2 linked regions of the Lytechinus pictus genome follow. Each later gene encodes a partner of the first gene's protein in a complex. Links are inferred from orthologs where the notes say so. Each region holds a gene or a part of one and is shown on either strand. Other genes may lie near its edges. The genes, in order: phenylalanine--tRNA ligase beta subunit-like and phenylalanine--tRNA ligase alpha subunit-like.

What was found.
Region 2: the proteins of phenylalanine--tRNA ligase beta subunit-like (region 1) and phenylalanine--tRNA ligase alpha subunit-like are in contact, whole or in part, in a crystal structure (PDB 3L4G), measured with the Homo sapiens proteins. The link is inferred for Lytechinus pictus from reciprocal best matches to the Homo sapiens genes FARSB and FARSA. Residues at the interface, in NP_005678.3 of Homo sapiens: Glu26, Phe29, Gly32, Leu33, Pro68, Ala69, Asn70, Ile150, Arg152, Asp259, Thr261, Lys262, Arg305, Lys316, Lys317, Val318, Gly319, Ile359, His360, Cys362, Asp363, Glu366, Ala369, Ile370, Tyr374, Asn375, Ile377, Gln378, Met379, Thr380; in NP_004452.1 of Homo sapiens: Ser221, Gly222, His223, Leu224, His225, Leu227, Leu228, Arg231, Ser232, Arg235, Leu239, Gly242, Phe243, Thr244, Glu245, Pro247, Asp249, Asn250, Phe251, Ile252, Glu253, Ser254, Phe263, Gln266, Gln267, Phe277, Phe278, Leu279, Arg280, Asp281.

Annotation. Positions count from the first base shown.
Region 1 is NC_087258.1:12,216,161-12,231,805, reverse strand, and holds the start of phenylalanine--tRNA ligase beta subunit-like, read right to left. Parts: upstream 6,891-15,645; 5' UTR 6,775-6,890; coding exon 6,717-6,774; intron 4,771-6,716; coding exon 4,715-4,770; intron 3,738-4,714; coding exon 3,640-3,737; intron 2,717-3,639; coding exon 2,587-2,716; intron 1,809-2,586; coding exon 1,693-1,808; intron 1,319-1,692; coding exon 1,210-1,318; intron 165-1,209; coding exon 14-164; intron 1-13.
Region 2 is NC_087255.1:20,706,440-20,722,518, forward strand, and holds the start of phenylalanine--tRNA ligase alpha subunit-like, read left to right. Parts: upstream 1-8,573; 5' UTR 8,574-8,608; coding exon 8,609-8,671; intron 8,672-9,588; coding exon 9,589-9,707; intron 9,708-10,257; coding exon 10,258-10,350; intron 10,351-11,669; coding exon 11,670-11,798; intron 11,799-13,420; coding exon 13,421-13,536; intron 13,537-14,150; coding exon 14,151-14,235; intron 14,236-15,316; coding exon 15,317-15,416; intron 15,417-16,079.

The sequences.
Region 1 (15,645 bases):
ATTATGTTCTTACCATTTATGATTGGAGGCATGGACAGGACGACACCGTTGCTATCCTTGATGATAGGATAGACAGGCTTGTCTCTGATGATAGGGAGGTATTGACGTAGATGGCTGTCTGAGGAATACATTTCCATCTGCTCTACAGCTGTGAATGCCTTGACCTGGTTGAAAGGTCAGAGGTCACATGGTAAAGGTCAGAGGTAAAATGGTTAAAAAGGGTAACAAGTGGAACGCCTCTGGCAGTCTCGCCTGCATTACGTTATTTGCGTTAGTATTATACCAGCAATGCTGACTTTCAAAATAGCTATTAAATAATTATTTATAAATGAAAACACTCATATGATAATAAAATACTATGTCCATTTACCCAACATGACCTGAAACTTAAACAGGATCTTTAATGATACACTATCACACTTATGTCCAAGTTTCATAAACTAAGTCCATACACTTTCGAAGTTATGACGACATTTCGTAAACTTAACCTTGGTTAAAATTTCGATATTGATTCCCCCAACATGGTCTAAGTTCATTGACCCTAAATGACCTTTGACCTTGGTCATGTGACCTGAAACTCAGGCAGGATGTTCAGTAATACTTGATTACCCTTATGTCCAAGTTTCATAAACTAGGTCCATACACTTCTAAGTTATGATGACATTTCAAAAACTTGGTTAAGATTTCAATGTTGACGCCGCCGCCGTCGCCGTCGGAAAAAACGGCGCCTATAGTCTCGCTCTGCTATGCAGGCGAGACAAAAATGGGTTTCAATCAACACTTTCCAAGATGTTACATGAGAGAATAACTGTTTGTATAGTACATTTCCAGTTGTTCAGTTGCTGCCAAAGTGTGAATAATTTGATAAAGGGCTTTCGTTTATTCATTACTCAATTATGACAATATATTGGCATTAAAAATCTAATAACAAAAATAATTTGAAATTCCAGTGTCTCAAAATTTGATACTCTTGAGATATAGCCCCGGAGTAAACACTGATCATGGGCCAATAGCATAAAACTTAGCGTTTTGTAACTTTGCTGTCCATTATAACCACCATAGTAAAACTGGGCAACTGGGCATAATAAAATGAATATTTCTGAGGAAGGCATCTTAATTGGCAAAGTTTCCCTAAAATGCATGTTTGATGCATCCAAACATAGAAATAGGGAAACAGCCCCACATCTTTCCCCTGCTTCAAAGACTGACCTGGTTTAGAGGAACAAACTTGATTTGGTGCGGGGGTTGAGCATCGAAGTAGAATGGCCCTTGGATTGTATCCAGGTCATGGGTTCCCATGGAAACCAAGCTTCTTTTCCTAAACGATAATCATGATATTGGAGAAAAGAATCAGCAATATGCTTGCATTTGAAAAATATGGGAGAGCAGTCCTCATCAGGGAGGGGCCAGGGAACAATTTCTTTTAAAGGGGGGAGGCAAAGCCCCCTAATTTTTTCAGTCAACTCTATTTTTTATGCACATAATCATCAGGATTCTGTATTTTTTTCCTCTCCCAATTCCTTTCTTCTTTCTTTCCCTTGGGGCAGTTATCAAATACTACATAAACAGCGTACAATGTGTCCTCATAAATGGGATAGCATTCTGGGTAGTCATCAACATATCACAATGACGTTACCTAGATTGTGATTACAGCTTTTGAAAATTCATCACTCTCACTTAGCTCCAACTTACCTTCCTAAATTCTGATGAAGTTTATCTTGAAGATCAATAAAGCTATCATAGGTATCTTTATTGAAGGTGATATTTCTCATGATGGCTGCAACAGCATAGGGCCTCACTTGAGCTGTCTATCAAGAGCAATTCAATGAGAGCAAAATGAGAAGGAAAGGGATGCTAATTATAATTCACAATTGAAAACAAGAGAGGTATATTAAAGGGTAAATAATTCAATTCAATTTTATTTTTTCTCTGCATAAAACGAACATATGATAAAATACACGAAGAACAAAGTATACATAACATCACAGATATAAGTTAACAAGAAAAAAAAAAGCATTGAAAGGGAAGCAGCCAAGGAGAAAATTTTCTTGTAATACAGCCGACCCAAATTACTTTAAAAAGAATAAAAATCATTGACAATATCAAAAGTTACAAAATATATAAAACAATTAGAAAATATTACAAAGGCATAGAGACACAAGTGGTAAAACATTAAAAGGGAGATTTGAGTGAGAAAACTATAGCAATAGGGAAATGTGTAGCCTGTCTTCAAAACAGAGCAACGTAATAAGATTTTTTAAAAATCACAGGATTTTAACAATACAAATTGTTGGATACAAGTCATCACGATCTGCCCTACTATTAGATCATCAAAACATTCAAATGCCTGCTAACACATCTAGTTTGTTTGTTATTGACCTACTGTAGATTTGATCGTTGTTTTAGCTTTTTGATTTACTATACTGTATATTTTGTATGGGATCACTGTTTTTTCAAGCCCATCCCCATTTTAATTGTATATATATGCTTTTCATTTTATGAAATTAAAATTGAATTGAATTGAATTAACCCCAAACTGTTATCAAATTAGTGAATTGTAATGAGTTAAGTTAACATTAGACTTACCGCTGGTTTAATGAACATTTGTTGAAGAGTTCCCTGTTTAGGTGAAATAGCCCTGTATCGCGGTGCTTCCATTTTTTGAAGGAAAACCAGTAATCCTCTGGAAAGGCCCTCAAGACAAAGTAAATCATATCTGTTTGAAAATAAAAAATATCATGGAAATAAAGATTCATTTTTTTCTGAAAGAAGAGAATTAAGAATATCTATGTAACTAACTACAATATGAAGCATGAATGAAAGTGAAGTAGCTCAATCTTGTTTTTCGTTTCTCCTCTTAGTCTTAATTCCCTCTTTCCAATATTATGGTCTCCTTAGGTTTTGCTTTCCTTTCAGTCAGTTTGTAAGTCCAATATTATGAATTTTGTAACAGGTAATTAAATTCATGCTTATCACTAAGGTTACAGAATTAATGAGCCAACTGTTTGAGCAAATTAAAGGTCAAGTCCACCCCAGAAAAATGTTGACTTAAATGAATAGAGAAAAATCAAACAAGCATAACACTGAAAATTCCATCAAAATCAGATGTAAAATAAGAAGTTATGACATTTTAAAATTTTGCTTATTTTTCACAAAACAGTTATATGCACAACTCAGTGACATGCAAATGGGAGAGTTGATGATGTCCATCACTCACTATTGTTTTTTTTATTGTTTGAATTATACAATATTTCAATTTTTACAGATTTGACAATAAAGACCATCTTGACTGAACCATAAAGTGTTTAAACTGGTAATTCCACATATTCAGGGAGGGATAAAACTTTGTTTCACAATCATATAACGAAATACAGAAGAAATAGTGAGTGAGTGATGTCATTAGTCCCCTCATTTGCATACCGACCGGGATGTGAATTTAACTGTTTTGTGAAATTAAGCGAAACTTAAAAAGGTCATAACTTTTCTATTTTATAATATCCGATTTTGATGAAATTTTCAGTGTTATGCTTGTTGGATTTTTCTCTTTTCATTCAAATCAAGTTATTGTTGGGGAGGACTTGTCCTTTAATCACAAGAAAAATTGGCTCATCATTATAAAAACAATCAGGTTTTTCTGACCTGTTTGCAGGTACATCAATTTTGTAGATGACAACATCTGAAGCTCCCTCTGCTTTATCTGTTCCTTGTTCCTTCTCTATCATCGTCTTCTCTGAGGTCTGGAAACAATATAATTTGTAGTATTAGAATTGGTTGGAGGTGGAAGAGATGCAGGAGGAGGAGGAGGAGGGGAGGAGGAGGACGGGGATCAGTGATAAGTGCTAGGAATGTATAAAGCAAAAGCATTTGGACATGAGCATGCATTACAAATGACTCTTGTTAAAACTGAATTAATTAGCATAGCAATTAGTGGTGCAATGCTAGGCTTTACTACAACCCATTGGATAATAAAATACGCAAACACTGTACTGTAGTTTACAAGTTCATTAACACCAGTCTAAATATTTGATAAAAAGGATAAAGATTAAAGGAAAATGAAACCTTTGAAACAAGATAGCTTTTGCAAAAACAGAAAAATCAAAGAAACAGATCAACAAAAGTTTGAGAAAAAATTGAATAGATAATAAGATATGAGCATTTGAAGTTTAGATCATTATTGTAATGTAGATCCTCCCATTGGCAATACGACAAAGATGTGTGATGTCACGTGTGAACAACTTTGCCATTACTTTTGTATATATATATATAACTTTCACTGCCTCTTTGTATCACATCTGGCAGTAGATCATGTATTCTTTCTATAGGAGGGCACCTAACACAGATTTTCAAAGAATACTTTATGGATAAAGAGTTTGTATCACCATAAGAAAGAGCAAAAAAGAGACATCTTGGGGGCATTTTATAGCCCATCAAAGGGAAAGTTGTTCACATGTGACATCATACATCTTTGTCACATTGTAAATGGAAGGATCTCCATAGCATTAGTAATCGCAATATTCAAATGCTCATAACTTTTTCGTTATTTGTCCGATTTTTCTCAAACTTTCTTTCATCTTATTCTTTTATTTTTTGGTTTCCACACAAGCCATTTGTTCCAAAGATTTCATTCCCCTTTAATATAGAGACCAACTTAAGAATAAAACACAAATAACAAAATCAAATTATTATAGAAAAGAGTAATTGAAAAAAAAATTACCACTTCATCAAGTTCAAGGCCATATTCAAAGCAGAGCTCATCAAATTCTTCATCAGCTGTGAATGTAAAGAAAAACAAAAGAGAAAAAACGTTAAAGAGTAGGGTGTTCATCATCCAGTGTATTGCACCTGCCGGTCCCTGGCGAAAATCTTCAGACGGTAAATTCAACTGCCATAATAATCAATACTACGATTGTATTTATAGACATAAACACAAGACAATGCAATGAAGTAGAAATCTATTAATCTTGTGCCTTAATTAAACAAAGTCAAAGCATGATAAATTAAGAAGATGTAGCCTCTAGGCCTAGAAAGACTTTAAAAACGGGCAGTGAAATTGGAAATTGGCATGGTACGAATTAGACCAAAAGCTTCGGTCTCTGTTATGTTGGTTGTTACGCTGAACTCCGTTGGCTCCACTCACCAAAAACAGAGACCGAAGTTCTAGCTCGATCTGTACAGGTACTCAATGGCCATATATTTATATATTAACTTAGGATAAAACAGGGAAGTGAAGTTGCGCGACAGCCGAAGTAAGTCACTGTTTTTTCCCCCTTTTAAGTTTATTTTTCTCTGTTTTGGTGCATTTCAGGCCAAAATGGAATAATAATCTTTATTTTGGTACAGATTTTATATATTTTTATGAAATAAAGACAAAAATCGATGAGCCCTGTCGGGGGGATTTTGCATTGTTAACCCCCTTATGGTGGCTGCACGATAGCAAGCCATCTGTGACTGCGTACGAGGAGAAGTATAAAATAAAATAAAAATGTAAAAAAGCTCCTCGAAACAGACGGCTGCCGGCTGCCAGCTGTAGCTGTCTATCTAGGTACGAATAGTACAAGTACGAGTAAGGGAAGAGGCCAGGCCGGGAGGTTTGCATAACAGCCACAGTCACAACTAAGTAGGTCTATCATTAGACAAGATCATTTCGAAACAAAAAAAGTCAGAACAATTAAAAATAAAAAAATGTTGTTCAATTTGTTGGCTGTTGCGCGCTTGCGATGTCGTGTTTGTACCGTTTCTTTTCTAGTATAGTGAGTGATTGTATTACCGACCGGCCTTGTATTACCGAACGCGCGCATTGACATAAGCATCAGAAAAAAAATTCATACATTCAAAATTTCGCAACATCCTTCCAAAAGACCAAAGAGAACTTGAATAGAAAGATGATGAAAAATGGTCAAAAACACATTTTCAAAGTCTTAATATTCTAAAAACAATAAAATATGGTCAAAATAGCTCATCAGTGATTTTGTTGTTTTCTCAACTTTTCCCATAGAAAACACACGTTCGGTAACACTCACACGTATTGCGAGGTTAGTATTAGTATACTAACCTCGCACCACGAACCGCGTTTGGCAGTGGATTTCTAACTAGTGGGTCGCGCGTGCTGGGATCTCACTTCTTGGGTCCACAACACATGACTTCTATGGCTTGAATTTTCTGTGCGCGGCGGCATGTAATGAACCCTTGGGTGGTTCGGTAATACTAATTACGATACCTTTTTCAAGTGACCAAAATATTTCACATGCGAAGAGGGGTCCGATTGGAAGCAAAAATCGTAAAAAGGAAAAACTATTTCGGCAAAAATTTTACATATTTATATTTTGTAGGTAATTGTGTATTCATGGTGAAAGTTTGGTGAATTTTATGAGAATAGTGTGTTTGATATGATTGAATTCATGAAAAGTGTTCGGTAATAGTAGTACGATCCACTACCATACTAGTAGGCCTAGTATTAATATTTTTTCATTGTTCTAGCTCGCTGGTAATGAATAAAATGGAATATTTACAACAAAACATTTATATATATTTTATTAGCTTTTATCATTTGAAAACAAAGCACAATCTGATAGAAATGCCACTTAAATCGTTAAAGTTTAGCGAGTGTGGAACAGATCCTTAACTAACACTAAAACGAGTACATGGGGCTACAGTACGAAGCCGTTGCGCTCGACTGGCGACACACGGTGGTTTGTTATTTTAATTTCTCTACTCACTATAAGTTCTCCCTAAAACCTCAAAGAGAAGATCCCTTTTCACACCAACAGTAGGCATTTCGATGGCAGATATTCAATAAATACCAGAGAAAGTCAATTAGTGTGATCCGTTCGTTCGAAATGATGCAACGTGTGGACGACCAGCCCCTTTTGTCTGAATATTTCGAGAACATTAATTAAAAAAGAGAGACCTATGCTACTTTTGAAGTAACAAATCTTGAATAAAATAATTATTTTCTTCAGGGCGTTGCACAGCAAGCATGCAATCATAAAGGTCCATGATGCAATCAAACTTCGCGTAAATCTTATGCATTATCAATTTCAATCATTGAGGCCTACAGTAAGTATATATATACGTAGAAATAATATCAAAATTCTTGTTTATTTACTTACTTATTTGTTCAGAGACGGCGAAGCGAAGTTGAAAGTGGGGGCACATGCAGGAAAAGGGCACTATCCGATGGGTAAGAGGGGCACTGATTCGAGTAAGGCCACTTACAACAAGGCAAGTGTACTCGTTAACGCCATAAAACGGGACCTTCTCAGGCTAGGCGGAAGGGGCACAGAACACGTTCATGAGGGGGCATTTTTCTTGGGTAACTAAGGGCACTTTTCAGTGCTTCTAGAAAGTGGGGGGGGGGCACTGTGCCCCCGGCCCCCAGCCCCCAGGATCACCGCCCCTGTATTTATTTGTTTTTTTTTATTTACCCAGGTAACAACACCGGTGAACTATACCCTTTAAGCACTGTTTTTCTTACATGGGGCCCTGTCATGGGCCTTCTCGAGAAGAGGTTGTTTCTGTTGGCCTATTCATTTTCTGATGGGGTGACGCTATCTGAGGGCACGGGTAATCCCCCTATTACTTTTCAAGATAGGCTTAAAGGGGAAAAAAGGGGAGGAAGAAAAGGGAAGAAGGAAAAATAAAACTGTCGAAAATAATCCCTGTTAGGCCCTATATAGCTGAGGAAAAATGAGTCACCTTTGACACGGGTCGTGTTAATTATTTCAAGGAGGGGCGACGTTAGGCCTACTGCATCCATAGTAGTATCCTATTTAATTTGGATGATTTCCAGGGGGGGGGGGGGCAAGTCCATCACGAGTGGATACCATGCGTGACCATATGGTGTTTCGAAACTCACCCTAAACAAGCATTTTCCATGTTCTGAAAATGCACCCCTTATAACAAGTATTGGCGTGTGAAACTCTACCCTTAACAAGTATTGGAAACGCGGTACCCTTGTCAAGACTTGTAGTATATTCCCTGAATTGACCCCCCTAAACAAGTACAACGATATCTTAAAGGAGAATGAAACCCTTGAAACCAGCTGAATCTATATCAAAGAGAAAAATCAAAGAAACATATTGTTGAAAGTTTGAGCAAAAAGAGATGTTTTGGGGTATATTTTCAGTGTCCAAAAGGGGAGAGTTGTTCATCTGTGACATCATAGATCTTGGTCGCATTGCCAATGGGAGGATCTCCATAGCATTAGTGATCTCGATCGACATTCAAATGCTCATAACTCTTCTATTGCTAGTCCTATTTTACTCAAACATTTGTTGATCTTATTCTTTGATTTTTCTGCTTTCACAAAAGCTAACTTGCTCCAAGAGTTTCATTCTCCTTTAATTGTTTTGTCACGGACGTCGGCTTTACCTTTACTTTCATTGGTTTAGTACCACGTACCCAAACACCTCGCTCAAATCGGACCCTAAACAAGTAGTGTTTGGAAAAAATAAATCCTTTATATAGGTCTATTTTAGTCATTTCATACCCTCGCAAATTGGACCGTAAACACGTATAGTTTTCCTAGCGAAATATATGCCCCATTTCATTATTTTAGTGTTTTGACACCCTTATTACGTTTCGTACGTAACGTGGCCTATCTTGAAAAAGAGATCCCTTTTCCGTGTTTTTTTTTTTGCCTCACACATGGTATCCACTCGTCAATGGAAGTGCCCCCCCCCCCGGGGGGGATGATTTCACATTTTCCACGAGAAATAAAAATCAGCTCTGCATCATTCGAGAGGAAAATGTGATATTTCATAATGAAATTGAAAAAATAATTCATGACTGTGTGTGTGTGACACCTTTCAGTCTCTCTCATTGCGTATCGTATGTGATGCAATGACGAGGAGGTTCTCCGTGGTCGTAGTAGCTAGCTCCATGATCACACATTCAGCGGAAATGAATGTTGATGTGACTGAGTGGTACAAAATGGATCAGCGCCACCTTTTGTCGGCCTGCAAATTATTCACTTGGTCATAATATGGACCTACTATGCTCATAACTACAACCGGAGTGCATTTTCAACATTTCCATGTTCTTCCCCATGGTAAGTTCTTCTTCAAAACTGAAACTTCGTTTCACTGCCATTCCAAAAGGCATGATGATTGAGACATACTTTATTTTTGCAAAGTCGATTCCATTTTATGAAATCAGACTTCCAAAAAATGGGGGGCTGGGGCTATAGTGAGTTCCCATCGTTAGAAAGTCTTCTCTGCCCCCTCTCTCTCTCTCTCGGGGGGGGGGGGGGGGGCGTGTCCCCCTGTCCCTTCTGGATTGACACATGCGTGGGTCTACCCCTCACGGTGTTAGCCACTCCTCCGGGGGGGGGGGCACTTCCATTGACGAGTGGATACCATGCGCGACCATGGGGTCTCGAAAAGCACCCTAAACAAGTTTTTCCCATATTCTGAAAATGCACCCCTCAACAAGTATTAGCCTGTGAAACCCAACTCTTAACAAGTATTGGAAACAAAACGATACCCTTGGCAAGTATTCCCTGAACTGAAACCCTGTGGAGCGTTGTGGCCCAGTGGATTACTCTTCTGACTTTGAAACAGAGGGTCGTGGGTTCAAATACCAGCCATGGCGTAATTTTCTTCAGCAAGAAATTCATCCACATTGTGCTGCACTCAACCCAGGTGAGGTGAATGGGTACCTGGCAGGAATTTATTCCTTGAAATGCGTGTGCGCTGTAATCTTAGTAATTACGGCTGCCAAGCTACAGCTGGGGTAATAATATCCAAGTCCTTTGGAAGCGCATAGAGACATTGTTCATAATGTGATATGCGCTATACAAGAACTGTATATTATTATTATTACATAAAAGCAGCGATATTTTAATTGTTGTATTCACTGACGTTGGTTTTACCTTTACCTACATGTACATCATTAGGTTTAGTACGGCCCCACCTCCCACACCTCGCGCAAATTCTAAGGCTTGTTTGAAGGAATTCACTAAGACCATTCGTATTTCACTATTCAAATGATGCGAGCGCGAAGCGCGAGCTGAAAATTTTGATATTCGGATCAGACAAAGGGACATATAAATGACTGATTTTAGGAATTCATGAAGAGCAGACATACTTTCTCACCAATCCACCAATGCGAAGTTAAGCACGGAAGGAAATGTTTTATATTAGGACCTTAAAATGGGGCAATCACTTTATGTAGCATATGTCACTACATAAAACAATAATAATAAAAGTGCGAGGAAATATATTTGGTGTATATTGACTTGAAAACGGGATGTTTTAGTACAACAGGATTATACAGGTCCATGGTTAAACAGACAATGCGAGCACCAGGAACAGTGAAGACATGGGCCCTGAGCAAATTATGTTTCATAAAGTTATAAAAAAATGTTTCTTATATAATATAACATAATTATAATATAATATTACAATAAACAATTTTTTATTTCCCACTACGTTTCTCTTCCTTTCTCCCTCTTTTTCTCCTTTCCCCCGTTTTTTTTGCCAGCCGATTTGGGGAGGCACGTGCCCCCCATGCCCCCCGTAGTTACGCCATTGCCTGCTTTTATTGTACTTTTTAAAATATGGACTTTAATTGATTTATATTCAGGACCGTAGTCTTTCTTGAGGGGCGTCCTTTTTCAAGAGTTTGTGCTTATGACTGTCCCCTCCCATGCAATGATTGTTTATTGTTATTTTACCGTGAAATATTGTCAATATATTTTATGTTGTATGATCAATTTTTTGCATGGAAATAAAGAATCAATCAATCAATCAACCCGCATTTCATGTACAAGTGTTTTAAAGCTTACCACAGGTGCTCATTTTCCATGCATTTATTTCTCACAATTTTCTACGGTATGATATTATCCTGCTAAATGCTTCTGTATTTGTTTTCTTTTACAGTGGTCACGAAATGGTTTTTAAATTGGGAAGGCCGGGGGGTGAATCGAAATAAGGACTGACCAGCATGCCAAAAAAAACCCAACACACAATTAGATGGCTAGAATTGGCCACTTTTACGTTTCGTATATTAGTTATATAAAAAAAAGAGTGGGGAGGAAAAGGGGCTGAAGCTCCCCCCCCCCCTCGCTCCCCTATGGTACCGCACCCCTAGATATGTATACGCGAAATGTTTGTATTTATGATGAATGTACTATAAATATAGTCGAAGAAGGCGAAGCCTCATATCAAAGATGGATTTGCATTGAGTCACCGGAGGAGTGATTTTCCTTCTCTTGGATAAAAAATATAGATATTCTGAATACAGTTTAATCAAACCATGGACCTACTAGTAGGTCCATGATCAAACTAACTCAGCCTAACCTATAACCCAATTTTCTACAGATTCTAAGACCATACCACAGGGTGTAAACACAGTAATTGTAAGGGCTCCCAATGTTCAATTCGATAAGGCAAATGCACACTATCTCTATGTAATAATGACCCGCAACATGCACAAGGTCGGCTTCTAATATGACCCCTATTTTAATGACGTCAAAGATCAATCGACATTCACGCCAGGGTGAAATGAAAATAGAACATGCTGGAACGGACTTATCGCGAGAAAGTGAGAAATGTGGAACACATCTCAATTTTCAAACGTCTAAATATGTAATGTTTACATCTAAACAAAAACGTTTCCAAGACTCAGTTCTTGTTCTCTTTGAAAAGCAATATCAACAACAACGAACTCTTCGACTACGACAACGTCCTTTTAAAACCAATCCTTATTTCTTTTCTTTTTGAAGAGTTTATTCCTCCTTCATGTTCTCGTTTGTAACCTGATTAGGCATATATTATTGTCCTGTGATGGGTGATAACTAAACGGAATGGACCCGACCAGTGGCGTTGGCAAGATTTTTGAAGGGGGGGGGGGGTTCAAGATGAATGAAATGTTGACAACCAAAACAAAATAAAAAAAAAATGGTCTTCACCACAAATTGTAAGTCGTTTCGTATCCCAAAACAAAATTGACAAGCAGAAAAAAAAATCTTTAACAAACATTTAGGGGGTGAATTCTTAGGGGGGTGGTTGAACCCCTGTAACCACCCCCTGCGTTCGCCAATGTCTCCCGACAAACTTTGATTTATAAAAGGAGAAACTCGTCGTTCAATACTAATTTTTCACTGAATTTGTAAGACAACAATATTCAATTTTGTTGATCACCGATAAAAGTGAAACAGTTTCCGTTAGTTGTTGATCGCTGAATATCTGAAAACATTCCCTCATAAATTAATTGCTGTATGATCATCTGCACGGGCGGGGGGGGGGGGGGGGTAGATTTCCATCCCATATGATATCGAACAGATATTATTCGAAAAGTATCAAAAGACATATATAGAAATGACAACACATTGCCCCAAGCCTCCTGAAGTTCCACAAACTTTCCATTTCAAATTTTACTTCTAAACAACGTCTGCTATATAAACAGAAGGAACTTTAAATTATTTCCGCCTTTTCTCTTGTCACACCAATATACTTCCCCTTTTCACGAGTTAAAGTCTGCCATATTCAGACGATCAGTCTATTATGTTGTTGATGTAATGTCATCTTGATATCCTTGATTGATATACAAGATGATCCGGGTCATACGACATGAGAAGCCAATTCGGGGGGGGGGGGTTCAGGGAGAGGAAGATCCCCCCAAAATATAATCATAAAAAACAATAACAAAACGTAACAAAATAAAAAACCAGAAAAACAAACAATATCGCATTATATTGAGGTCGGTTTTTTTACTTTGGAAATATGATCCACTTTTGTTGTTTTTTGCCAAAGATCAATAACTTAGCTCTAAAAGGTAATTTTGTAATTACATTATTTGTTTATCTTGTTCTATTATTTATGCAGAAAATGATGGCCCTTCTTTGGCCTGATTTTTGACAATTGGTATCGTGATAAACGCTATTGACTCGTTCTTATTGCATCTATTTTCTACATGCTCTTTGTATTTCCCCTTTTACAAAATGTTGTTGTAAAGCCCCCATCCCTAAAGTCCCATAATCTTATGAACGTCCTTTCATTGTGGAGTTCATAGACGGTCACATGTTCTCTCCATCGAGACACTCTCTTTCCTTGAAAGCCGGGAAAACAAGAGTTGATTCTCACTCAAGCACGTTTCCACTTAATGGATTGCGAGGGATTGGCGATGACAATAATTTGCATGTATACATGGAAATGACTGTGAGGGCCCGTTTCCACTGCCAGGTACATTGACTTTCTACAATTGATGGAATATTGTCCGTTCCCGGGCTCGTTCGGCCTTTCGCACATATATAAATTAGAAATTAAGGTTCGCTGTGCAGAAAAAAAAATCAATATACTTTCTATGAAGTAATCAAATGGGAGGGGGGGGGGCAACGCCTTAACTTACTCTGTTACCAAAAACCACCGATACATAACATACAATATGGTCATATCTGCCTGATGGTAGTGCAAATTTTCTCCTAAAATCAAATGCATGTGATTGTCAATAAACCTATAAACTAAAAAAAAATCCCACAAAGCCAGGGGTGTCCTCGAAAGTATATTGTCTCCCATATGCTGTGTGCTCACTCTGACAAATTCCCGTGTAATATAAATTTTCTTAATCATACCAATATACAATGATCATTTTCAAAGTTCAGAAAACGCGCTTTGTGCGGGAAGGGGGAGACAATTTCTACACATCCACATCATGATTAAATCAAGATTACGAATTTACATAAATTTCTAGCTTATCAGGGCGATGGAAAGACCCAAGACGTCTTATTTTGCTTGAAATGGTATGGTTCTGCGCTTCGCGCGTGAGCTCCATGCACAAATCATCTATGCCTTTGCACTAGCACCGCGGAGGAGCGCGCTTTTTGTGCTCGCACTCACTACGCAGTATGAAATCGCTGCAATAATTCATTGTTTCATGGAGAATCAAACTTCACGCTAGGAACCGACATAACATTTTCATGGATAATTACAAGGATTATATATCCCAACATAATTTATTTGATTAGATGTCCAAACATTTGCGACGATTAATAAAGACGATGTGGGATCGTCGAAAATATGTGGACATTAAATCAAATAAATTATGTTAAAACAAACATGAAATTTTCTATCTTGATTTGATCATATATATTTATATCTGAGCAATATCACAGTCACACAAACTTAGCTGATATAAGTCCGATCAAGGATTTATTGAATGGCTTTGGTCGGATGAAAGCTGGTTCCGTTGCTGTGACTTCGGTGTTACAAGTCTCCACAATGCATGAGAAATTACTACCTGGGAAATTTTGTCTTATTCTTCAAAGTTTAGGTTCTATTTGCGTATTCTAAGCTCATCCTTTAAATTGCTGAATAATGCCAATACATCTCTGATCGTATAAAGAATACTTCCGCAGTGAGTATTGCTTATTACTGCAGAGTCTCTGTATATTTGTCATGTTTATTGTCCATCTAACTAAAATAAAAGGCTCTTGGATTACTCGGCTAATTGGAAAGCGTTTTTGTGTCCCCAATGATGAAAAGAAGATATTTTTACGCAAATATTATTCCATCTTACATTGATGAATACACAACATCCATCCATCTATCCCCGTGAACTTGGTAAATGTCATTGACATATTAACCCAAGCTGCATTTCTAAAGATTCTAAAGATATACTGTCTTAAACATGATAAAGTATCCTTCAATTCAGTTTCAGATGAACAATGCACTAATCACGCTAATGGAGACTGCGTAAATCAAGCGTACAGAGGTGCAGGCGACACAGAGTGTCTTTGGCACAATTTCATTCAGATAGATTTTCAAACAAGAGCTGTAAATGAATTATACTTGTAAAAATAATTCATATCCATTATACCAGTAGAAGGAGGGGGGGGGGAGGAGGAAGAGGAGCAGTAGTATACAGTAGCAGTAGTAGTAGTAGTAGTAGTAGAAGTAGTAGTATGATAGTAGTAGTTGTAGTAGTAGTAGTAGTAGTGGTGGTGGTAGTAGTAGTAGTAGTAGTAGTAGTAGTAGTAGTAGTAGAAGTAGTAGTAGTAGTAGTAGTAGTAGTAGTAGTAGTAGTAGTAGTAGTAGTAGTAGTAGTAGTAGTAGTAGTAGTAGTAGTTGTAGTAGAAGAAGAAGAAGAACACTGCAAAAACTTCGGTGTTGATTTAACACCAGTCCGGAATCTATATATATGTCCACACCTGAGAAGTGTTAAGCAACACCAGTTTTGTTTTGGTTACACTTCGTAATTCCGAAGGTTCGTAATTCCGAAGGTTCTTTATTCGGAAGGTTCGTAATTCCGAAACACGTAAATTGCCTATACCTCGATGTTCGTTAATCCGAAAACGTAAAAGGGTTCGTTAATCCGAACATTTGTGGCGTTATTCCGAAGGTTCGTTATTCCGAAGGTTCGATAATCCGAAAACGAAATAAGGTTCGATATTCCGAAGGTTCGTTAGTCCGAAAACGAAATAAGGTTCGTTGTTCCGAAGGTTCGTTAATCCGAAAACGAAATAAGGTTCGTTGTTCCGAAGGTTCGTTAGTCCGAAAACGAAATAAGGTTCGTTAATCATTACGTTTTCGGACTAACGAACCTTCGGAATTACGAACCTCATTTCGTTTTCGGATTAACGAACCTTAGGAATTACGAACCTCACTTTGTTTTCGGACTAACGAACCTTCGGAATTACGAACCTCA
Region 2 (16,079 bases), on another chromosome or scaffold:
TTATTACAACATAGTACGCAGTCTGACTATCCTTTGTATAAAAACAAAACTTGGGAAATTTCATTATGCTCCTGGCAAATCTTTGAAATGTGTCGGTTACTCATGTTACATGATTTGGACATGCATAAAATGAAAAGTGGACATAAGTGAAAAGTGTCCTCATGCAAGGCTTTTATGAAAGTTGATTATATCCATTTTAAAGAAGTATATTAGAGAGACAAATTTGTATATAATTAAAAAAATAAAGAACACATGGTTTTTACTAGGGGTGCAGATAAAGTGGTTACTCACGTTACGGTTCAGATGGGCTATATGTACAAAGACACATTGAGCTCATGTCCACCAACCTATGGAATTGCCCATATGCATTTTCTTAAGTTTTGTTCGTTGGGTTCAAGGTAAATGGTTGTGTCGTCTGCGTATTGATTTATTTTTATTTCGGTATTATCATATATTTTTAAACCACGGATTTCTTGATTTTCTCGAACTAAACAACCTAAAATTTCAACAACTAAAATAAAGAGATATGGCGAGAGCGGGCAACCTTGTCTTACTCCGCGGTGTATTTCAAAAATATTTGAGGAATAGCCATTATTTATTACACAACCTTCAATATCAACATAAAGAAGTTGAACCCAACGAACAAATTTTTCACTGAAACCGAACCTTCTTATAGTTTTGTATATAAAAGACCACTCAACTGTATAGAACGCTTTTTCAAAGTCAATACAGAGTGCAAGACCGCCAACATTGTGCTTTTTGCAATAATTTTGAATATCAATAAAAAGTCTTATTTCGCCAATATAACGTCCTTTGAGAAAACCACATTGATCATGATTTATGAGAGGTGATATTACTTTTTTTATTCGGAAAGAAATTATTTTTGCGAGAATCTTATAATCACTATTTAATAAAGAGATTGGACGCCAATTTTTCAGTAAAAGTAAATTTTTCCCTTTTTTAGGCAACAGTGTAATAATACTTCTCCTCATTGAATGAGGTAATATATTTTTTTCAAAACTTTCATTAAAAACTAAACATAGTAAAGGATTTATTTCATTCCAAAAAGTCTTGTAGAACTCAATTGGCAACCCGTCACTCCCTGGTGACTTGTCATTTGCAAAAGACATAATCGAATCATAACACTCCTTCTCTGTTATCATTGATCCCAACATATTTATGTCACTCTCATTTACAGTTGGTATATTTAAGTTTTTCATTGATATATTCCTATTCAGAATGTTCTCTTGAGATGAATACAAATTAGCATAAAAGGTCCTTTCTTCTTCAAGAATATTTTTTTAATTAAAAATAATACCTGTATCTGTTTGGAGCCGAAATATACATTTCTGTTGGTAATTTCTTTTTTCTAAGTTTGCAAAGTAGTTGGTATTTTTCTCTCCCTCTGCGATCCATCTCACTTTCGATCGCACGATTGCCTGTTGCTTGGATTCGCAGAATCGACAGACTGCGTTGAATCGCTATCCTTGAGTTGTCGTAGCGGTGAAGTGCGAGGTGTTGCTATGTGATTACCTGGGGGGCGTTTCATCAAACAATTAGTCGGTGGTTTTCTCCGACTAAATGTGATTTTCACCGACTAATTTCAGTTTCACCGACAATTTTGCCATCACCGACTAAATTCCATTTCATCAAAATTTGTCGGTGATTTTCTCCGACAAATTATTGGAAACCACCGACTAATTTTGTCGGTGGCCTTCACCTACCGACAAAACTTATTTTCACCGACTAATCAGCCTTTTATGGACTTTAGCAGCTAAAATTTATCAATTTCAGTTGATTTTGAATATAACATTTTAATAAATTGCTTATTTTTCATTTCATTAAGAAAATTCAAAGAAAATGTATTTATTTTCAGTCAATGACAAATAAAAAGTAGACATTTCAAGCATCATATTTTTATCTTTAAAGCTATATTTTCATAAATTAATTGATACAATTTGATAGGAAACACCTTCAAATGTACACATTTTTAAAAACATTTATGTTCTTTTCTTCAACCCGAATAAATCATTGTGCATTTTTTAATCAATAATGTCTGAAAATGTCTGTGACCTCATTGACTTTTGTACAAGTTTTTCAATATTCATTAGTGTTGTTGGTGTTGCTGCTGCTGTTGTCATCGTGGTTGCTGGAATTTCTGTTGTTTTTGCTGCTGCTCTTGTTGTTGTGGGTGTGGTTGTTGCATCTCTTACTGCAGTTGTGGTTTCGGCTGCTGATGCTGTTGTTGCTCCTGCTGCTGTTCATGATTATTGAAGTAACTGAAATGGAATTGATTTATAGAGCATGTGATATTTTACTAATAAAAGATATTAATTTCCATCATTATTTATATCAAAGTCATTTATTCCTAATTTAATTATCATTGTTAAAACTTAAATTTTTAAAAAAATTGTATGTTTCAAATAATAACTTTAAGTTCTAAATGGTAAAAGTATTGTCACCAAAGCCTTATTAAACAACAAAAACAAAAAAGTTAAACAAAGTAATGCATAAGAAAATTATTAAAATGTACATGCATACACAATTGATTTTAATGACTTTGGTTTTTCTCATTGGTTTACCAAAGAAATGGAGTCAAAATCCAAAACTATCACATTTGGTCTTTATTTCTTGATTTAAAGCAAAATGCTGATTTCATGCAAGAGTCATGTTATAAATAAAAAACCAACATCATACCTGCTGATTTCTGAAGTGAGTGCACAATCAACAGGCAAGATCCTGGGGCACACCCCCCCCCCCCCCCATACCAAGATCATTTGAATTAGTGAGGTTTAATGACTGCTTCTGTAGTCATTACATTTATCTGATTTATACAGGCCTACAAGAGATATAAAAGAAATTGTGTTCTTTTTGGGGTAATCTTCCGGTGTTCCTCCCTGACAAAGCAGATGGTGATGGTGTGTGTGTGTGTGGGGGGGTCTAATATAAATGCAGAACAATGGAACATTCATTTACTACTTTGGCAATAGAAAGCAAGTCACACCATCTAGCATTGATTGATATTGTTGTTTTACAACTGTCCAAGAAATATCACCATTAATAATTTAAGCATCTAAGCACTTATAGATGTCATTGTTTTCAAATATTGACTGGTAGAAGACCAATTAAAGAAGAGAACAGTACCGGTAATTTAATTTTCTTTTAATGTGACTTTACTTTCTTCGCCAAAATGAGGCAGTAATAATTAAGAGTGTTTTACCTTACAAGTGACATCACATTTCATGCCTTCTTGTCTTGCTCTCCTAAACCTTCAACCATTTATACTTTGGTAACTTTGCATCTCATGTCTGTCTGAAAAGTTTGGGTGAAGCCTCCACCTGAAGGAAAAATAGCATTGAAATAACTAATTAAAATATTTGCCATAATCGTGTATTTCTTCTCACATGTATATGTACATGTCTAAAACAGGAAATAAAACATCTTTTGATAACCATACAGGTTTCATATAGAAGGGGGTAAATAAGGGTTCAAGTTTTTATTATGTTAATTAAAACTACAAACAATAATAAATGACATGCTCTGGCTGAGAAACTTAAATAGAGAAATTATTCCTCACAATGTAGCTTGTATGTACATCCCGGGGGGGCCACTTACATTGACGAGTGGATACCATGCGCGACCAAAAAAACACGTAAAAAGGATGTCTTTTTCACGATAGGGCACGTTACGTACGTAACGTGATAAGGGTGTCAAAAACACAAAAATGATGAAAAAAGGGTATCTATTTCGCTGGGACAATTACGTGTTTAGGGTCGAATTCGCGGGGATGATAAAACAAAATTAAAATGTTTTATAAAGATGTCCTTTTTGCCCTAACACTTCGTGTTTAGAGTCCAATTTGCGCGAGGTGTAGAAGGTGGGTCGTACTAAACCAAATAAGGTAAAGCCGACGACCGAAGGACCCGTAACAATAAAACATTCATGTACTTGTTTAGGGGTTCATTTCAGGGAATATTTGCCAAGAGTATCGTTTTGTTTCCAATACTTGTTAAGGGTAGGGTTTCACACGCCAATACTTGTTAAGGGGTGCATTTTCAGAATATGGAAATTACGTGTTTAGGGTGCTTTTCGAGACCCCATGGTTGCGCATGGTATCCACTCGTGAATGGAAGTGGCCCCCCCGGGATGTACATACACATGAGAAAGTAGTGATAAATGGATTGAGGGGTGAGAGCAGGGGCTGCGGAAACGGGGGGGGGGGGTGCATGTTAGCTGCAGGGTCAGCGGAACAGTTTCTAAAGTGAGCGAGCTGACCATGCAAAACATCATAACCAAATGGTCATTTTACATTTTTCAGCCCCCACATTGTTTTCCAAAACCATGTACAAAAATTCAAAATTGACCATCTGCTAATGATTTTTTGCATGGTCAGTCCCCCCCCCCCCCACTTTCGGCTAAGCCCCCTCACTTTCAAAACCGTTCCGCTGACCCTGCAGCTAACATGCAAAACATATTGATTATTTTATATGTCTTTCATGTTTATGTAATGTTTGCATTATAAACTGACTTTAAATAGAAAATCTGATTAAAGTCTGATTTCATTGTCATTGATGTGGGTTTTAATGATTTAACATTCTGCAACCCAAAAAATATCCATTATTTTGTAATCATTATCGCATTTTACTAGTCTACATGTTACCTGTGGTTGCATTTCAATCTCAGTATTTCTTCACCCACTGCCAAATCTTCTGCCACATGTTTATCAGATTGGCCGCTGGCACATTCCTTGCTGTAGTAGACCAGTCAGAGCCTAGCTTTCTAGTTCCAGACCCGTCTCCTTCTGCATATTGTTAAAATGTCCATAGTCTGAAATTAAAATATTAATAATATCACATTGATATACATGTAGCAAAGAAATTATGTAGATTTACACAGTGATCATTGAAAAATACTGCACTTTCAATGAATATTGTTGACATTTCATAAAGGGGAATGATCAAATATACCAATCATTTTTCTTCTTTTATTATCCTGAAATTTATAGAATTTACCAAAAAACGGTCAACAATTTATCCTTTTTAATTCATATAATTTTCAATTGATTATAAACAAGACGGTCATTAACACATTAACCATACAAATAGTAAAACAGTTTTGTCAATATTTTTTTAAAATTCAAATATAAAAAGATTTTTTTTTTCTAACCCAATAGCGCTTGGATACCTTGCCGGTTAAAAGCCAAGATAAAATTAATAAAAAAATATGAATAGGCTCCTAATTCATAACTGCAGCAAATTGCATCCCCATCAAACCGTCAACTATTTCTGGACTGTGACCTTTGTTCAAAGGAACTTTAAAATGAGATTCAAGGCAGAAAAATACTTGGGATTGATGAGATCCATTACATATTCTCCTATATTTTTTTTCTAATGAAGAGACCTTTAACCTTTACATGCTATTTAAGGTTGGGTGTGACTAGACTCTTTATGTGGTACGACTTTATGTGGTACGACAATATTTTTCAAAAAATAGATTAAGAGACATTATCAACAATAGTTTAATTTATTTACCCCAATAACACTGATGCTATTGTAGATTCAGTGTCAAAATTTATAGGATGCTAAATAGTAATTTGTTTTAAAAAATGACTAAGATAAATAAAAGCAAAACAAACTTCATAATCGCACACAAATGAGGAGCATTATATCGTCTCCCCCCAATTTGGACAATCAATCTTTTTTTAAAGGGAGCTATGCAATGGCTCATTTCACGTGGGTGTGCAAAGTCAAAGAAAATTTAAGATAGATCTAGGTCTACAGGCTATACCAGTATGGCCACGGGCCGGGTGCACCATTTAAAACTTGGAAGTTGGATCTAATTTTTTTAAATAAGTCCTAGATTTCAATTCTTATTGGGTGTGAACGCACCTCTCCGCTCTGCCACAATCGCATCACCCCCCCCCCCCTGAATCCTTGCCAGCTGTCGAGAGCCTTCACTTCATTCGACTTGTGACTTGCTAAGCCTATGCTATATGATAAATAAGTTGAGAACATCCAATTTACCAAATTACCACTCAAGCTATTACCATGTGATTTAGCTCCTGTTCAATTCCAATATCTGTAACACAGAATTGGGATGGCCCCATTGGATATGTGTACATTAACAATTACACACGCTGGTTTGCCTGGTGATCAAGGATATCTCCGACCACACCGAGCAACAAAATCAATACAAAACCAAAGGAAATTAAAAATTATGATATGTAACATAGAATGACATAAAGGTAGAACAATATAAAGTATTCTCTTTGCAAAATTTATAAAATTGCAGCCATGTGCGGATCATAAAAACGTGTATGGACAGCCGTGTCGTTAGTTTGGTCCTGAGATAGTTCTACAGACACAGAAACACGGGTATGGGACTAGACTGGATTATGTGCTGTCAAGTTTATCAATCGTATCGACAGGGGTCCTGCCAGAAGATTCTCTTTTCTTGTAATTCATTTGATAATTACGCACAACGAATAATTCAATCACCTTACATACAATATGAACGACATTTTGAAGGGTTTTACTTACGGTAAAATCCTCATTCACCTCTTCGGGGACCTTCGCTTCTACTTATTTCTTCGTTTCACTTCGAATCGTTGCGGCGAAAACATCAACCAATTTTACATCTTCTTCACAACTTTGGGAGTGGGCGTGGCCTAATTAGTCAGCGAACCTCGTTCAAGACGATTTGTAAAATAAAAATTCACTGACAATAGTCAGAGAAGCTCCGAGAGTTTGATGAAACGAATTTTTGTCAGCGCTGACTAAACTGTCAGCGCTGACAATTTTAGTCAGCGCTGACAGTTGTCGGACGAAAATATTGATGAAACACCCCCCAGGTGCGCGGTTGTTTTGTGGGCAGGCATTCTTCATTTGACCAGCGTTTTTACAAAGGTGACATTTTACATCATTGTGGCATCTGGATACATGGTGTCCCGATTCAAGGCATCTGGAGCATGTGACTGGGCCAGCTGCACCGGAGTGTTCGGGTTGTCCAAGATGATACACGCGTCCCATGAAGTTGGTCCCGAATAACATTTTCCTAGGCAACGGTTGTGTTGGTGGGGTAATGTATAATATCCGATCTCCGTTTAGACAATTTGTAAGTTGACCGTTCACTCTCAGTTTTTGGCGATAGATATCTCCTTGAATCTCGCATTTCCGGTTTTCTATCTCACTGCGTATGACTTCGTCGCTGACAGACAGCGGGATATCTTTCACGGTCACTCTGGTGAGGTTTTCGTTCCTAGACCTTGTGAAAGGATTCACATCGTAGATTGCGACGGTTGCTCCGCGGATTACCAGTCCATTGGATATCAAATTGACGCGGTCTTCATGGGAGTTCAAATAAATTCTCCATAAACGGCGAATTTGCTGTATTCCCACTATGTTGTCTAGACTGAGTGTTTTGGCTAAGGCAACGTATTTTTCCTCACCTGTGACATGTTTCTTTTCGTCATTCCTGATATCATCCACACGTAGAAAAATGGGCTTGGGGCCTTTGGGCATGTGTGTTTCTGGGCGTGGCGTTGCTTTATGTGCATATATAGTGCGTGTGTATCCTATACGCATTCAGTGTCACATACGTCAAACAGTTAAACTCCCCAAAATATATGAAAATACGTAGCCAAAAGATCCTTAAAACCAAGATAAGTAATATCAATGATCCAAAACAGTTCCGTAGGCTAAAGATTACAAACTGATGGTTTTCCAATTTCGCGATATTTCCAGATATTAATTCCGTAATGGAGAGGATGCTAGAGTGATGTCTTAACACCTCGAAAGCGCCCTCTATATCGTCATTACCTAGATGATTTTTGTTGTTTTATTCTGATGTTTTGTTGTGTTTTATGGGAGGGTGCAGGAACTTTGTTGTGATACATAATTGTAGATCACGTCAAATGATATAGAGTAAGAATAGTTGATTCATGGTTTACATTAAAAGGCATGTAGCCATGTAATCAAATATGAGCTGATATCATCTTTTAGTAAAGACTGAAAATACTTTTAGTACCTCCATTTATGCCTGTTTAGAAGGACAGCCCCAATTAATTTGAATTTACCCTTTTCTTTTATGACACCTTTGTTTTGTTTTTTCATACTGCCCACTTCAAAGTCTTTTACCATCAGGCTCAACGTTCTCTTCTTTTCCCAAACCATGACCCATAAATTCTGATTTATTTTTCACTACCCTTTCTACACTTTGTTCCAGATCCATCGTTAATCCTTACCTATTTCTATCAAATGTATCAAAAAAGTTTTAAAATCCCAGCATTTTTTACTATTTTTTTCCTCTATTACCTTTTTGCCAAAAAATGTTTATGGTTTTATGGGGAAAAGAAACCCAAACTTTTTCGCAAATTACCAGTAATACTCTACTATCTATTGCAGTGAAAGAATGAATAAGAGTGTTTCCCCCCCCAAAAAAAAAAAAAACAACAACAACAACAACAACACATATTTAACTCTTAGAATATTTCAAAGCTGTATATATGTGAGTTTGGCATTTCTGTGTTACTTTGATTTTGATTGCATTATTATGAATTGATTAATGGTAGAAGACTGTTCCGAATGCTAAAATAGGATTTAGCAAGGCAATGTCGGCAGGATGGTTGGAGGTCAACAAGAAATGTCAAGGTGGTCCAAGAGTTCTGAGAAAGGTAAGCAAGATCGACAAAGATTAATTGATATGTTATGAATAAAGATTATTGTTGAAGAACTGTTCCCACTAGTTAGATTTAGCAAAGAAATGTTAGTAGGATGGCTTTGGTCAATAAGAAATTTGAAGGTTACAGCTCTAGGTCAATGTAAAATTTAAGAAATATGGAAGAAAAGTGTTCCTATATGAATAAGCTATGCTATTTTGACCACAAGATTGGGTATTCTGGAGATGAGTTTAATAACGTGGCACAGATTTACAGAGAGAAATATGCTGTGGAAAAAGGGGTCATATGCATTTGATATTATTGCAGAGAAATGATCCCACTGCAAAAAAGGATTTATGAAATATTGACTGATAAGAGGTTAATGAATGTAAATATGGTTCTCGCGTACAGAGTAATATCAACAGAGTTATCAAAAGTTCTTGGGTTGTTGTCGTTACGATTGGCACAAACTTAGTAAATAATAATAATAATAACAGATAGTTCTTGTATAGTGCATTATCACCTTATCATAACGTCTCTAAGCGCTTCTAAAGGACTTGGATATTACGTGTTGAAGCGTTTCAAGGAATAATTTCCTGCCAGCTACCCATTTACCTCACCAGGGCCCCATTGCATTAAAGTTACCATTATGGTAGCTTTGCCATCCAATGGCAACTACCATGGTAACGCTGATCAACAACCTATCAAAATCAAGGATTCGATACGAGTTAACATTGGATGCAACAGGGCCCAGGGTCGAGTGTAGCATAATGTGGATCAATTTCTTACTGAAGGAAACTACACCATGGCTGGGATTTGAACCCAATGACTTTCAGTCTCCAGCATGTGGGGAGATTAATCAAGGATTTTATGAGTTGATAATCATTTATTTTGAACCATGAAAATTTATCAGTAATGTTCTTCTTTTTTAGGTCTCCTCCATAGAAGATAAAGTACAGTTACAGCTCCAACGAATCAGACAGGGGAACGTAGAAACAATAACAGATAAAGAGAGGGCAGAACTAAAGAAGAGAAAACTCATTACTGAAGTGTAAGTTTTATTATTATTATTATTATTAATATTAATATTATTATTATTGTTATAAATATTATTATTATTAATATTGTTATTGTTATTATTATTATTATTATTGTTATTATAATTATCAATATCATTATTCCTCTAAACAGGATCAAGTCTGTATTTTTTCTTGAATAACTTTGCTCTAACAAAAAGCACTAAGTAATTTCAAGTGCAACTAAGAACTTTTTACTACTAATGTCCAAGAGTCTTTCTTATCAATCTGGTTGTACCCAATATAGCTGCCTTCTGAATGTCGTACATCAGGAGATGAGGAGAGATCTTGGTTATGCAGGCTTCCATTCCTCTCCAATATCATTATTATTTCATTATTGTTATTGTTATTATTATTATTAATATTATTAGTAGTAGTATTGTTGTTGCTGTTGATGTTGTTAATACTACTACTACTTCTTCTACTACTACTATCATTATTTTTATACACCCATTTTTTGTTACTTTGTTGTTGTTCTATTGCTTATACTGTTATTTTTTTCTCTGTTTATATATATATTCACAGGACAAGAAATACTTTCTTGATCAAGAAGGGAGAAGAGTTCAGCACAAAAATTCAGAAACCAGAGACCGATCTTACTCCTGATATGATCATGAAGTATGTGAGCGTTGACATTGTAGTGATCTTAAAGCGACCTTTCATTGACAAATCCTGGGGAAATCAAGGCTTATCTCAGAACAGAGAAGGGATTCAAGTCTTTCACTCGGCTGCATGCCTGGGGGTGTTATGTAATAGACGCCGGCATGTCTGGGAGGTCTATAGGAGAGCAATAATTAGTAGATTAACCAAACAGAAGTAAACTGCATGTTTTCACTTTGAAACATGTAACTTCCAGAGGTTATTTATTTTGGTTTACAATCAAGAGACCTGCTATGAGTCTAGGAATTGGGATTGTTGGAAACTGGAACTGCGATGATCCGAAGTAAATAACCATCACGGGTTCTATCAGATTTGTGCTGTCCGAACTTTTATCGCATTAGTCCGACGGGTGCTCATGACGGATGGATTATATTATGCAAGTCAATTGGCCTTTTGAAAATTTTGTATTGATTCAATTTCCCCATGATTTGTCAGTGGCTGGGCCCTTTAAAGGGGAAGTTTACCCTGAAGAAAAATTTATTATAAATTTACCAGAAAACAAACAATATTGGTGAAGGTTTGAGGAAAATCCATCAAAGAATAATAAGAAAGTTGTGAGAATGTTAAGTTTTTGATTTGTGACGTCATTTATATGTGCAGCTTACCCATGTGTTATGGAAGAGTGCATAAATTTCAATTAGTTGATGGTTCATGATGCCTTTCAGGAGCTGGTGTGAAATCATTTGTCTGTTGGTATACTGAAAGTGCAATATAAACCATTCTATTATCAATTTTAAGGGAAAATTACATTTTATTGATTTTTTACTACACAATATATGGGGAAGCTGCTTGCATATGACATCACAAATTGAAATATTAAAATTCTAATAAACCTTTTGATAATATTTGTTCTATGGTGCCTTCAGGGGTCACATGGTATTATGTCAAAGGTTATGACAGGCCATACATTATTGTATACCTGCAAGCCTCTCTTCTGACAGACATTTCTACTTATTTTTGCAAGAGAGCGAGGAACGGAATCGCTAATCCAAATCGAAAATCCATCTTTTATTGTTCGAAACAGAAATCCTCTAAATATTTGTTTTGCCCAATTAATCGTGGGCCCGGCAGCCGCTGTGCAGCACCAGACCGATGTAGCTCTATCCTTTTTATTTGTTAACGCCAAACAGGGTAGCAGCAACTTCCATCTTTTAGCATCTTTTGGTCTGACGCGGCCGGGGTTTGAACTCCCGACCTCCCGGTTGTGAGATGGATGCTCTACCATTCGAGCAAGACATCGGTTCTAATGCTTTTTGATAAAATTGTTGTATTCACAGAGGAACATGGAAGGATCATAAATTCAAGGATTATAACTTTGAAGCTCTTGGGGTCACGATCCCGTCAGGTCACCTTCATCCACTTCTCAAGGTCAGGTCACAGTTCAGACAAATCTTCTTGGAAATGGGGTAAGCTGCTTTTGGGTTCTGTTCATTGGTCAGAATTCTGAAGTTGAGTTTAATTTAAAAGCTGGTCTAAAGTTGTGGTTTAAGTATGGATAGCAAAGTTTTACATAAATCTAAAAAAGAGGTTGATTGTATCAGTTCATTTTACCTCAAATCATTTTTAATTGTCTTGAAAGGACAAATGAGAGAGTTGTCATTATCATTAAAGAATTGAGAAATGGCACAATAAAGATAAGAAACATATTAAACAAAATTTAGACATTTTGGCTTCCCATAATTTTAGCACAGAGTTAGACCATAATCTAATTTAAATCTAATTTCAGAATACAGGCCATTGAGTTTAAAGTTAATTTTGATTTTATATAATATAAGTAATTTTATATGATATGCAATCGAATATCTGAAATTGCAATAATAATAATTATACTTGCATATACATGTATACTGTTTAACACTTACTTTATCAGAAGTCTTTTAGCCCTGCAGTAATGCAGGATAATTAACCTGGCTTTGGCAGAGCAGCTGTTACTTGCGCTGCATTTCACCCATTCACCTCACCTGGGTTGAGTGCAGCACAATGTGGTAAATTTCTTGCTGAAGGCAAACACACCATTGCTAGGCATCGAACCCACGTCTCTTAGATTTAAGGTCAAGAGTCATAACCACTAGACAACGACGCCCCCACACTTATTTCATACTTAATCCCATTCTTTGTGTAAGAAATTGTAACATTTCATGTACACATGCATGATTATTGATAACCCATTTTTATAAGCTTTCCTTTTTCCACTCTCTTCTTGAACCATGACTGTTATTTATGTTTAGGTATGTCCCAGGATATTAATTTTGTTTGGTATATATTTTGATATTTCAGTATGGCTGAACTTACTCTGTTATCATCAATTTAATCAGCATAACTCACCACACATTAATATGCTAAACATGAAAATTTCAATCTTAATTTAATTCAATTCATTTTATTCAATCATTTAAAAATCAATATACAAATCATACATTAATGTACAATATAGTTTAAATGATTAGGGTGCCCCTAAAAGCAAAAGCTTGATGAGTGGGACACCCAATACATAATATATAAACGTACATAAAAGTGAAAAAGTGACTATTATAAATACGAACAATACATAAGAAATAAGACAGTAAACCTACAGGGGAGGGGGGGGGGTCAGGAAAAGGGTGTGGAAATGAATTATGTGATTAATTGGCATACATAAATACAAGTGAACTTTTGAGTTTTGTTTTAAATGCAGTAACATTTGTGCTAGACCTTGTTCATTAATTGAAATTACATATTTGGAGATCTGCATATTTGACTATGATGCATTCCTGGTAGTAGCCATATTTATTCCATATGTGTGCAGGCAGAGAGAGAGAGCAAAAGAATATATAACAACAAAAATACCAATTTATTTATATAATATTAAGTTTATTGTCAAGATGTTCAGAAATTTGTTAAAAATCAGTTCATGCTGTTTAAAAAAGTGAAGGTAATATCATGCATAAGATGCTGATTTGTATGAAAATAAGGAGTATATTTTTGTTGAAAATTTATTCCTTCCAAACCGCTTTTCTTACGATGTTTCATCTCTCATTTGTAATCATAGATTTACCGAGATGCCCACCAATAATTTCATCGAGAGTTCTTTCTGGAACTTCGATGCTCTCTTCCAACCCCAACAACATCCAGCAAGAGATAGCCATGATACATTCTTTATCAAAGGTAATCTTTTTTTTAATGTCTGCCTGTTTTTTTGTCTGTTTATTTATCTGTCTGTCTATCTATCTATATATCTAGCTTTTTCTCTCTTCCAATCTCAGCAACATTCAGCTAGAGATAGTCAGTCTATATGTCCTCCATCTATCTATCAAGCTTTCTTTCTCCTAATCTCAGCAACATCCAGCTAGAGATAACCATGATACAGTGTTTATCAAAGGTAATCATTTGTAGTAACTGTAACACCCATGTGAAAATCCTAGGTCCATCAAACTTGAAAATCATTAAGTACATCTGCTTAAGGTCAATTACATGACATAACAGACATCCTGAAATAATTTGTCTCTGGTTCCTAGTTGAAATTAAAAGTTTTTATGCTCAAAAATACAAATTATCATGACTTTAGCACTTCAAGTGAAAAGGGAAATGGAGGTCAGACTTACCAATTTTTTTTAATTATTTTATGGAATTACCCCATTGCATTGCACAGGCAAGGTATAGTATCTACAGGCAGAGGTGTATATAGAAATCCTATGCCTAAAGCTTTTGACCCTTCAGAGCCCTGAAGTAGGTATATTCGGTAGATAGCTGTTAATATTCCATGTTTTATTTGTTGGCAGATCCTGCTAATGCCACGCAGTTTCCCATGGACTATCTTGAGAGGGTAAAGACAGTACATTCCAAGGGAGGCTATGGCTCACAGGGGTAGGTCATGTTTAGTTTAATTTTGTTTTTGTTTCTGTTTATGGTAACTCCCATAGGAACCCGACAGGACAGCTTTTGGCTGGTAAACGCCAAACTGGTATATAACCAATTACATAGGAAACATTTACGTCTTAAGTTTAAAAATCAGACATAGTGGCTGATGTTATAGACGACAGATATTACTCTCGGGTCTTTTATTAAATCAAAGTGGACGCAATGGCAGAGCAGGGATTCGAACTCACAACCATGCAATTATGAGTCCCATGCTCGAACCACTAAACCACACGAACTAGAACTTGTTGAACTAGATATTAACCTGTTGATTCCTTGAACCAGATGATCCCTGTTCAATACCTTGGGAATCCTAGAATTCAGTTGTCACAGGGTTAAGGAACCATGCTTGTGTGATGGTTCCAAGGATAATGAAGTCATTGGAGATGAGAGTTATAAGACATGGTGAAATTATGAAAGTTTGATCATTTTGCTTTCTATTTGATATCCATCATCGAAATGACAATTTTGCTTAGAATGGGATGTTTTCATGGGAATTTTCAACAAATTGTGCCTTTAGTATGCTTTCTATGTTTATTATCTGTTTGTTTATTATGCAGCAATTCTCAAATTTTGGGAAATGTATTTGGGTTTTCCCGTATTTACAGGTGGTATTCTGATAGCCATGGTTTAGTTAAACCCGGGTTTACTTAGACCACACTCTTATGGAATACCAGTTGTCAACTCATTCATCAGTTAAAAATTATTCTTATTCTGCTGCAAAAAGTTGTCAAAAAATAATTGAGTTGTGAATTGGGAAGAATAGTTAACTACCAAAATGTTAAGAATTTTGATGAATTAATTGATACATTATGATTGCCATGAACTTGGAAGAAGTATAATGAAGCACTCCATAGCAGTGTGGTCTGAAATTGTAGTTTAGACCAGGGTTAAACCTAGGTTAAATTATCAGAATACAACACATTGAGTTCACCCAAAGACAACCGAGAAAAGCCTCTGTTGTCTGTTTTACTGAGCTTTCTGCTATTTTAAAACGTTTTTACATTGATAAACTTTTGTTTGGACATAGATACCAGTATGACTGGAAGATAGAGGAAGCTCGGAAGAACATACTGAGAACACATACCACTGCTGTCAGTACAAGGATGCTGTATAAACTAGGACAACAGGTAATATCAGCATGTGGACAGTCATTGTTTGGGTTCTTTGTATGTGTTTATTCAATGCAAAACTGCTTTTACCTGCTGAATGTATATGGTTACTCAAGGATTTAAGGGATCAAATCCACATTTCCTGGAAATGTAGTGTGTGTAGTTGTAAGAGGAGGATGTAGTTGTTGGTGATGCTGATGAGGAGGAGGTTGTGGTTGTGGTGATGATAAAGAGATGATGATGATGATGATGATGCTGATGAGGAGGAGGTTGTGGTTGTGGTGATGATAAAGAGATGATGATGATGATGATGATGATGATGATGATGATGATGCTGATGAGGAGGAGGTTGTGGTGATGATAAAGAGATGATGATGATGATGATGATGATGGTGATGATGAGCATGATGTGGAGGGTTGTGGCCCAGTGGATTAGTCTTCTGACTTTGAAACAGAGGGTCATGGATTTGAATCCCAGCCATGGCATAATTTCCTTCAGCAAGAAATTTATCCACATTGTGCTGCACTCAACCCAGGTGAGGCGAATGGGTACCCGGCAGGATTAATTCCTTGAATGCATGAGCGCTGAAAGGCAGCTTGAGCTAAAGCCGGGGTAATAATAATAACAACGCGCCTCGGAATAGAATATTTCTAGATAGATGGCGCTATATAAATGCCTAT